2 linked regions of the Arabidopsis thaliana genome follow. The protein of the gene in region 2 interacts with the protein of the main gene of each other region in a pairwise test. Each region holds a gene or a part of one and is shown on either strand. Other genes may lie near its edges.

The links.
Region 1: the proteins of AT2G38510 (region 2) and AT4G22830 interact in a protein complementation assay, tested with the Arabidopsis thaliana proteins (one large-scale study listed by BioGRID).

What each region holds. Positions count from the first base shown.
Region 1 is NC_003075.7:11,988,988-11,993,947, forward strand, and holds AT4G22830 (YCF49-like protein), read right to left. Parts: upstream 2,442-4,960; 5' UTR 2,421-2,441; coding exon 2,315-2,420; coding exon of another isoform or gene 2,257-2,314; coding exon 2,019-2,256; intron 1,748-2,018; coding exon 1,669-1,747; intron 1,595-1,668; coding exon 1,526-1,594; intron 1,423-1,525; coding exon 1,309-1,422; 3' UTR 1,077-1,308; downstream 1-1,076. Other genes in the region: AT4G22840 (Sodium Bile acid symporter family), read right to left, coding at 2,649-2,720, 2,797-2,879, 2,973-3,226, 3,324-3,576, 3,654-3,847, 3,945-4,069, 4,333-4,418, 4,527-4,689.
Region 2 is NC_003071.7:16,121,542-16,126,643, reverse strand, and holds AT2G38510 (MATE efflux family protein), read right to left. Parts: upstream 2,660-5,102; coding exon 1,199-2,659; 3' UTR 1,109-1,198; downstream 1-1,108.

The sequences.
Region 1 (4,960 bases), on a different chromosome or scaffold from region 2:
AAACAGAAACACGTAACTATGGAGGAACATACATGTGTATATATTTATATGGTATGAGTCACGCTACGGTTTTCACTTTTTTTAAGTTGTGTTCTTCTACACCTCCTTATTGTACACTTTCGTAATCTTAACCGTGCGATTCTTTTGGCTGACCTAATCTGACGGTTATAATTTATCATCGAGCAGCTAAACGGAATAATAATGGCACTGTTTTGTAAAATTTCCAAAGTTATGAAGTCAGAACTGTACTTTCGTAGCTGACGTGTATATTTCCTTTATTTTTGAATTCTGACTTTCCATTTTTTTATTAATTGACATTTTTTATCCAGTTTGATCCAAAAAAAAATGATGTAGGTTTTTTTTTCCCATAATAGGAGTACAAACTAATAGGTAAAATTAACAAATTTAAATGTATAAATGGCCTTTGGGGTTGTTTAAGTAATGATTAAGATGGTATTATTGGTGGACTTTTGGGGAAGATAAAGATAAGATATGCCTTCTTCATCACGCCCTGGCTTGGTCTAAACACGATTAACGCGTTGTCAAGATTTAAGTGGAACTTGGTATCTTATTTTAATAATTCGAAAATTTTATTATTTTAAACTTATGTACTTACGTTCATTTTTTTTCTTCTTATTAAGATCCTAACCAGAAATAGCTCAACCACCCCACATTTTTGCTTATAGTTTTTAACTTCAAGAGATTCGGATTTAAAAAAAAAAAAAATTGTCGTACTGTCCCACGTAAAGATTCAATTTTGTGTGTGACAGATGTAAGTTATACACAATGATTTTCTTCAACTAACTAGATTGAGTTTGTTGGCATGTTTTACTATATATGGTCTCGATTTAAGATGATATAACAAAACAAGATAATTAGTTCAGATAATGTTAAACGTTCAATATCTGCATTTTGAGTTAAGATAATCTCAATATCTGCATTTTGATGTCTACTTTTATTTATAATTTTAGCCAAACTTGCCACACTGGGAAAAACGTTATCAGTTTTGGCACTTTCTTTCTTCTGTTTTCTTGATCTCATTTATACAAAAATGGAGAAGTTCTTATGATCACGTAACCAAAATTTATAATTTAATTCAAACTCTAGATTCTGGATAAGACTAAATCTGTGTAACTTGGGTTACTGATATAGGTTGAATGCACATGGATCTTCCTCATATAAAGACTATATAATATACTTAAATCGTTGACATAGAATCTCATAGAACTTTTCAAAGGGGAAAAGAATCTTAGTGATCCTCCAATTAATAATTCAATTATACTTTGCTCATATTGATCGGTTTAGCCATCATGGCTTTTCAGAGACTTCAATTTTGGATGACAACTTGTTGATCCGAAAGGCAGCAATGCAGAGAGTGATATTACCAAACACCGTTAGTGCTGCCTGAAGAGCGACCAACACCTGATAATGCAGTCCAACAATTACACCATTAAGTAGGAGTGAAGAAGCAAACGAAACATATCACAGACTTATAGCTAAAAGTTGGAGTCAAGAGTTTCTTGACCTCAAGAGATTCATCGTTGTAGAAGAAATGCCATGTGCATGCACAGAGAGCTCCACCAAGCAAAGGTACCTGATTAAGAACAACCAAAAAGCTCAGAAAAATGAAATCATGTAATCTAGGAAAACGGCTTAGAGCTTTCTCACCATTCCCCATGAGAGACCTTTCCAAGACTCATAACCCTTTCTTTCTCCATACTTCCATACCAATGCCATCGCCGTAATCCTTTAGTAAAAACAACACCAGAATTAGAAAGACATTACATTTTTCTTGTTTGTTAGCTCCAACTGCATTTCAAACCATAATGAGAGAAGCTTAATCTACATTGTGAGTGAAAGATCGAGACTTTATATGTAGATGAAGCTTCTCTCATAATGATATCAAAAACTCGAAAAACCCACAACATCAAATACTCTCTTGTGTCACTATAGATCAAATGTCAAATGTTTTCTAAGTGAGAATTTCAATCAATAAAGCAAAGGAAGAAGAAGAGAACCATTCGACAACGCTGGAAACATGAACGGCCCAAGTGGGTAAAGACAACGCATTGGACGGTTCGCTTAGCTGAAGAGAATCCACCACCGCCGCCAAAGCAGTAGCATCTGGTCCCGCCGTGATGAAAGCAGCCGCAACCAAACTGGTTCCGATAAGACCCGACAGCGCAACCGGGTCATGAATTAAACTGCGGCTTCGGATCCGAATTACAGGTTCGTTAGAGGTGGTGAGAGAAGAAGCTGGACGGCTCTCAGAATGAATTCGCCGGAAATTGGGTTTGGCGCAGCAGAAAAGAACGGTGGCTGTTGAAGCAATCGCCATGGCTGAGATTTTTCTCCAATTTCCAATTCCCAAGTTCTGGTTTAATTTTAAACCGGTTTGCTGTTGAACCGTCTTTTATCATTTTCACAAACAAAATTAAACTAATCGGTTTATTAACAAATTCTGGTTTTTCTAATTACTTCCCATCTTTGAAGTTGAAGAGAAAAATATAAAGACAAAATGGAGATTAGTACATTAAAAATCTCAAATTCTGTATTGAATTATTTATATTACAAGAAGAATTTTCCAATTATTTGTAGTACATATATATATGTATAATCAAAATGTGGAGTGAAACAAAATCAAAATGTTAAAATGTGTTACTCTTTTCCTTAGACCAGATCAAAACGAGAGTGAACCCCATCAATGACATTACCACCGTCTGCAAAACAAAACAAAAATCTCTATAATCATCATCAATAAAAGATTATGCTATGTCAAAAGGATATGAGACTTACAGATATAGCAGGAGGAATCCCCACAAGAGGATCTTGAAAGAACTTAGTAGCAAGCGCTAGAGCCAAAAGGCTACTCTGCATTCCTGATATATTCACAAACACATTTCTCTTCTCAAATCTTTAAACCAAATTGTACTTTCTTGATAAGATTTTCCAATACCATAAAGAGTTAGTACCAGTTTCATAGGACAATGTTCTTTGCATGGCTTTAGCGTCTGGAGCGTTTCTAAAGACAGAACCGGTAAGGAAGTATCCAGCGAGGAAAGCTGAGAGATGAAACATTGTTACTAGTAACAATATGGTGGCTCCAAATGGAGACATGACCGAGTTTATGTTCAATGCGAGTGGTGCTCCAACGCAGCAAGCTGTGTCGAGAACCGATAGAATCGGGAGAAATGGTCGGATTGCATTTGATACTTTTGGGAACAACCTGTAAAAGAAGAAACAAAAAGGAGATAAAAATGGTTATACTTAGAGAAACAACTTGTGGTTATTTCTAGTTGTAGGCTTGTAGCTATATCTCTCACTTGTTTAGTAGCAATCCTGCAGCGATTGGTGCGATTACAACCTGAAGAATGCTGGATATCATTCCTTTTACATCAACGGGTAGTTTCTTCCCAATGAGCAGGAGTGATAGCATCGGTGTGACAAGAACCGCAGTAGCGGTTGATAGAGATGTCATGACGATGCTAAGAGGTGCCAATGCTGGATCAGTTAGGAATGTCGCATAGTTTGACAACTGAGCTCCACTAACACATGATACCAACATGATTCCAGCACCTGAGAGATTGAGAAAGATTGGTTAATGTGAGAGATAGGTTAAGAGTCTTGAATGATGAGAGACAGGGAGCTTTTACCAATTGGAGTTGGGAGTTGGAAAAGAGAAACAGCAGCTAGGCCAAAGATGAAACCTAGGACAGGCTTTACGAGATATTGTCCAACATAACCGAGGAGGATAGCTTTTGGTCTTTTGAAAGCTTCAAGAAAGTCTTTCTCGTTTGAATTGATACCAACCGCAAACATCAAAAAACCTAAAGCGGGCACAAAGTACCTAAAATAACAGGAGAGTAAAGAAGAGCTTTTTAGCAAACCTCATGTCTACAATTCAAAGTCTTAGATCAATTTGACCTTGTTCCAATGGGAAGAACCTCGACGTAAACCAAGTGAAAGAAGGAGGATAGATAAGAGCTAATATTGTACTCGCCAACACTACATGAGGAAGAATTGAGTTTGCTTTCTTCATTCTATCCACTATAGAAGGCTTCTCAATAACCTGCAAGCCACTTACTAGATTCATGTTGGTTCTCGGAAGTAACATAAAATTCTTAACAACTGAAATCATCAGCAAACGAAGAACAAAGTAGCAAAACTGTGATCCAGGGATGATTTTTAGCTAATCAGATTCAAAAGTAGGATAATTAACAAGTCTTCAATAGTGCAAAATCACATTTTGACATTAAAGATGACACATTTTGAGAAGACTATTCAAACCCAACATAACATAGAATGGAAAAGGAAAGATCCCATAGCGCACACCTTGAATGGATCAGCTCCAGGATCCAAACCCATCTCCGAGAAATTATCAGATGCATATCTACGCCACAAATTCCTCGATCCGCCAACTGTGTATATAGTAGGTTGAAGAAAACCATGAGAGAAGAAAGTGTAAATTTTGCAGGTACCCAACAAGCATAAACGCCTGAGGATCGATGAGAGTAAGATGAACAAACCTTGAGAGATTGGGTCGATGCGAAGTGGAGAACTCAGAGAAGTGTTCGAGAAGATGTTGGGCGGGAAAACTTGAATCCGTTGACTGCGATAAACAGCTCGTGGTAGAAGACGAAGTGTTGACTTTAGGTGCAGGGTCTCTATTGGAGTTGTGATCACGCTCATTTTTTTTCTTTGGACTTTGTGATCTTTCAGATTCTTCAGAAGAAGTGGCGAAACTCTGAGAGTTCTGGGAAATGGAAGAAAGAGGGAGAGATTCAGAGAATCTGGGACCCGAGAATCTGTCGCATCATCAACCTAACAAAACCCGACCCGACCCAGTTAGAGTTTAAGTTTCTGGAAATGGCCCACTGGGCTTTAAGATAATGTATATTTCAAATTATGATTTTCTTATTTTAAAACTGATATTTGGAATATAATGTGTTGTGTAGTGAGA
Region 2 (5,102 bases):
AACTACTAAAACCACATATGATTAAATGGGGTTGGGTTTGGGCCGAATCGGGCTTGTTGCTTGTTCTATACACTATTCAAAGCCATTTGGATAAAACATCCATCTTCGTCACAACTGTTTGTTAAACATCCATTTGGTGGTGTGTCACGTCCTTCCATCTGATCAACAATGGGTTTGTAGTCTTCTGGCAGACCCCCGAGAATGTAATCAACTTGATCTTCATGGTCAATGATTTTGCCAATTAATGCCAACTGATCAAATCGATTGATAAAGCCTTGAACGTACTCGTCGATGGTGCGGGTGTCTTTCTTCCATTGTTTGATTTGGTGTTGGAGCTGTTTGATATGGCCACGACTCGGTTTGGCATAGGTACCAGCAAGAGTGGCCCAAACATCAGCAGAGGTAGCGGCGCGGGACACCGTTGGTTGGACGGTGAGAGAGAGAGTGCCGATGAGAGCACTGAAGATCAATTGATCTTGTCTACTCCAGGCTTCATACTCAGGATTCACAGAGGCAACGTCGTTGACGGTAATCTCACGAGCTGGAGCAGCTTTTGTCGCATCAAGGTATTGAGTGAGACCGTAGCCGTGAAGGAGAGCGTGGACTTGGCGGCTCCACATTATGTAATTGGAGGCCGTAAGTTTTGTCACATTCGACATGTTCATGTGAACAATGGAGGTGTTGTTGAGGTTGACGGTTTCAGAAGAAACATTCGACATGGTTGAAGTTTGAAAAACAGAGGAATAAAAAAATCAACGGGGGAGAAGAAGAAAGAAAGGAGAGAGGCGGCTGTTTTTAGGTTTTTTATTTTTAGGTATCGATGATGCTCTGATACCATATAAAGAATATAGAATTGGATGATTTGTATTGAGATGATTTACATTGTTTATATACAGACTAGATGTTCTAGAGACTTCTAATTACAGAATATATAGTTTACATAAGTAGAATTGTGATTGATCTTGATTGATCCTTGATAGATTCGTCACAACTGTTCTCACTACATACTTCTGCGTGTTAGAAAAAGCTAAGCTCAACCAATTAAATGGCTGAGTCTTTTCACAAAATCTTAGTTAACAGTTCGGACACAAATCTATCTTCGGTATTTTTAGTTTGCCAAAAAAAAAAAGTTTCCTATATCATTAACAATCCGTTAAAAATTGTCGATTGATAATTTTAACATTTCTAGCTAAACTAGTCAATTCGTATTTTGTAGTAAACCAATCTCCAGATCATTGCTACTCACATCATCATCGTCTTGTACTTCAGCATGGACGGTTTCGTCTTCCGAATGGCTTTTGTCGGCTGCAGCGGAGGTAAGTTCCTCTGCCCGCTTCACTTGATGAGACCAGTCCGTACGGATTAACGTATAAAGCATCATTACCAAACACGTCATCTGCGCAGATAACAGTCCAAACCATAGCCCACGAAACCCAACCTTAAACCCAAACGTGGTCGTAACTGCCACAGGCAAGCCCACAATGTAGAATGCGCATAGGTTAACGCGTGCTCCATCTTTAGGCCTAGCCGTCCCAGTCAAGACTCCGCAAGCAGCCGTCTGTGGCGAGTTTCCAATCTCGCAAAGCCCCAAGATCGGAAGCGCAGCCGAAATAAGCCCGAGAATCTCCGGTTCGTCCGTGAACATCTTTCCCCAAACCGACCTAAGCGCGGTCACAAAAACAGCAGCTGCTAAACCGTACGCTACCGCGAGTATCAAGCCAATCACGGTCGTACATTGTGCCCGTGTTGGTTGGCCGCCTCCAAGAGCGTGACCTACACGGGTTGCAATGGCGCTGCTAATAGCAAACGGGACTACGTATAGTATCCCGGTGGTCTGAATCAATATTCCCATGGCGGCCACGCTTGCTTTAGGGTTCCCAAGAAGCCCACAAAGAAAAAGCATGATCTCATACCACCAATACTCCAAACACACCGAGATAGCGCTTGGTGCGGCTAGAGAAAGCAGCGGCCACCAGCCGCGGAAAAGTGACCGCAAAGCGAGCCCTTCCCACGGTTTGATTAGAGAATCCGAGAAGCACGTATAAACGAGCAGTCCCACGTCGATATTCATAGTGTTGAAAGCCATTGCGATGGCCACACCCTTAACGCCTAAACGCATACGCACGACAAAGACGTAGTTGAAGAGAGGATGAAGAAGAATGGATACAATGGCAGATATCGTGAGCGGTGATGTTAAGCCTTGCGTTCTAAGGAACGTTCGAAGCGGATGGAGCATGGCCTGAGCCAAGAGCTCAGGGACGAAGAAGAGCATATAGGTTTTGGCTACCTTGGTAATATCTGGGTCCTGACCCAACCGTAGGAAAATGGGTTCGATGTTGAGCCACGTAACGGCGATTGGAACAGAGACGACAATTAAGAGACAGAACATTTTCTGAAACGTGTGGCTAAGTACGGTCCAACGTTTGGCTCCGAAGGCTTGGCCACAGATTGGGTCCATACCAACGGAAAGGCCTTTAAGTACGGAGACTCCAGTGATGTTTCCAAAGCCCATAGCGAGTGCACCACCAGCGAGTTCGACTTTTCCGAGATGACTCAAGAACCACATTGAGATTATTGATCTTGAGAATATGAGGAGTGATGTCATCACAATCGGGCAAGCTATTTTTGTGAGTGACGCCATCTCCTCTCCCACCTGCATGGGAAAAATAAAATTAAAAAATTATGTTATTTTTGTTAGGTTTTTCAATTGAACAACTCTTTATTTTTTCACATGTTCTATAGGCTTCTAGTTCTAGCAAAACGCACTCGAGAAGATATTAGTGTATAGAAAGAGCGCAACACGAGTATGTTGTATATTAAAAAAAAAAAAATTATCCTCAAAATATGATTTAGTCTTTAATATCCTTTTTTAATCATGTTTAATATTTTGTACGTGATTTAATTTCGTTTAATTAACGATATTGCACTCACTAAAAATATTAAATTTTCTGGTATATCATTTATTAATATTTTTATCACAATAAACAAACAAATTTCTTTTCTAATAAGTTGTATGAAAATGGTATTTATATGAGCTTTTTATACATGAGTTATTAAAAAAATCATTGTACCTTAATTGTTTCTTTTTGTCAAATAAAATCTTAAATTAATTTTATTGTGAAACAGAAGGACATTACATTACAATACGGAAAATGATATTTTATCATATTATAAAATTAAGAACAATTTGTAAGCACGAGGAAGATGGTCGCATCACATGGCCACTGGGACTGGGATGAGAAAGTTGAAAAAGGAAGAGAAAAAGGTTTAAACTCTATAACTTTTAGAACTGAATATATAATCAAATTCACAAGTGCCAGAAAAGCGAATGGCTAACTGTACCAACATTCTAGGATCTTTTTAAATAAAAATCATCATGGGTTTTTAAAAGCTCACCTTTTTTGTTTTCTTTTTGAAAAAACAAAATCAGCTTAGATATTACCTTTCATTTCATGATATCTTCATTAAGAATATCCACATTTTAAAAACATATAAAAAATATTTTACGCATAGATACTTGTAAAAGTATCATGAACTACTATTGACATTTCATAAACAATCGGATAAGGATTTCAAGAAAATAAATCGGAAAGTAACTAGATTATATTTGTACTAAGTAAAGAAACTGATAAAAAGAATAGAGTGAGAGGAAACCTATATAGAACACTTTCCTAAGTAAGTACAACCCAACTGTCAAGAAATATAAAGTAAGTACAACACAAAAAGCATCTCTTTCAGTCCATGAAAGTGAGGATTTATCATACTAGTAGTAAGTAGTAACGCTTTAGGCATAAATATGAACATATATACACATATATATATATATATATATATACAGAGAAAACTTATATATAAATGAATTTTCAACATTGTATTTCTCAAGTACGTGAAAGATAGATGAAGCATTATTCATGCTATGTTTTTAAAAGGGATGCATTATATTCGGTTAAAATGCTATAAAAACAGTCAAAAGAAGCATTCAATCCAGTATAAGATCAATTTCCAAGAACTACATATTATTTACCAGACCCAAAAAATACTGCGAAAGTGACTGAAAACAATATAATAATCCATCAAAAATCACCAAATTCTCTGGTTAAACGTAGCAAACGTCTCTATATTAGGATGGTCCTGATCACGAAAACTAGTAGTACAAACAAAAACACAAGAAAACTATGAAATCAAAGAATAAGCAGAGTGATGACTTGTCAAAGCTAATTGGAATTTTTTTGTTGAAGAAAATGTAAGAACAAGAAAAGAGAAATTAAAGAAAAAGAAACAAGCCTCATTGAAAGGGATGCGACGGAGACCAGCAGAGAATTTGGCGCTGCCGCTATTTTCTCCTTTGACGGATGTTGAAACATCGCATTCTCCATTTATAATCTCTCCAGATTCACTGCTTTCCATGTTAGACCTGCACATGCTCATATATATTTGTATATACTATATACTATATATCACACTTCTTCACTTATATCAAAGAGATTTATATGTTGGTGACTACGAAAAAAGGGTTGCCATAGAAGCTAGCTACGAGTTTGTGTGTGTGAGAGAGACAGTGAGAGAGAAGAAGAATGTCTTAAGTTCCCCTCGTATTTATGTACGCTTCCTTAGTCGTCCACTCTAATTAATTTCATATTTACTCGTCTTTTCCTTATTTTTTTGAACTATTTTTTTTTTTTTTTTTTTAAAGTTTTTTTTATTGGGAACATCTGTTTCTTCGTTTATATATGTAGCCAGTTGAGTTTTTGTATTAATAAAAAATTCCACATAGTCAGTCTCTTAGACTGAACCAATTTACTAAAGTGTTGCCTTTATACATTCTACTTATAGAAAGCCTTGTTGACACTTATAGTAAAAAAACAAATATAATACTATGAGTTTACACTTATAGTAAAAGTAATAATATAATTGCCAACTCTTGCCTTTCATTATATTCTTCTCTTTGAGATTAACGGTTGAATATTTGTTTCATGTATATAACTTTTTTACAGATGCTGATTATAATTTTCTTCTTTAATTCATATTGCTTTGACTATCATTTTAGGTATTAATGTGTAGATGATATCCGGGATCTAGTGATTACTATATAATTTGTGTTT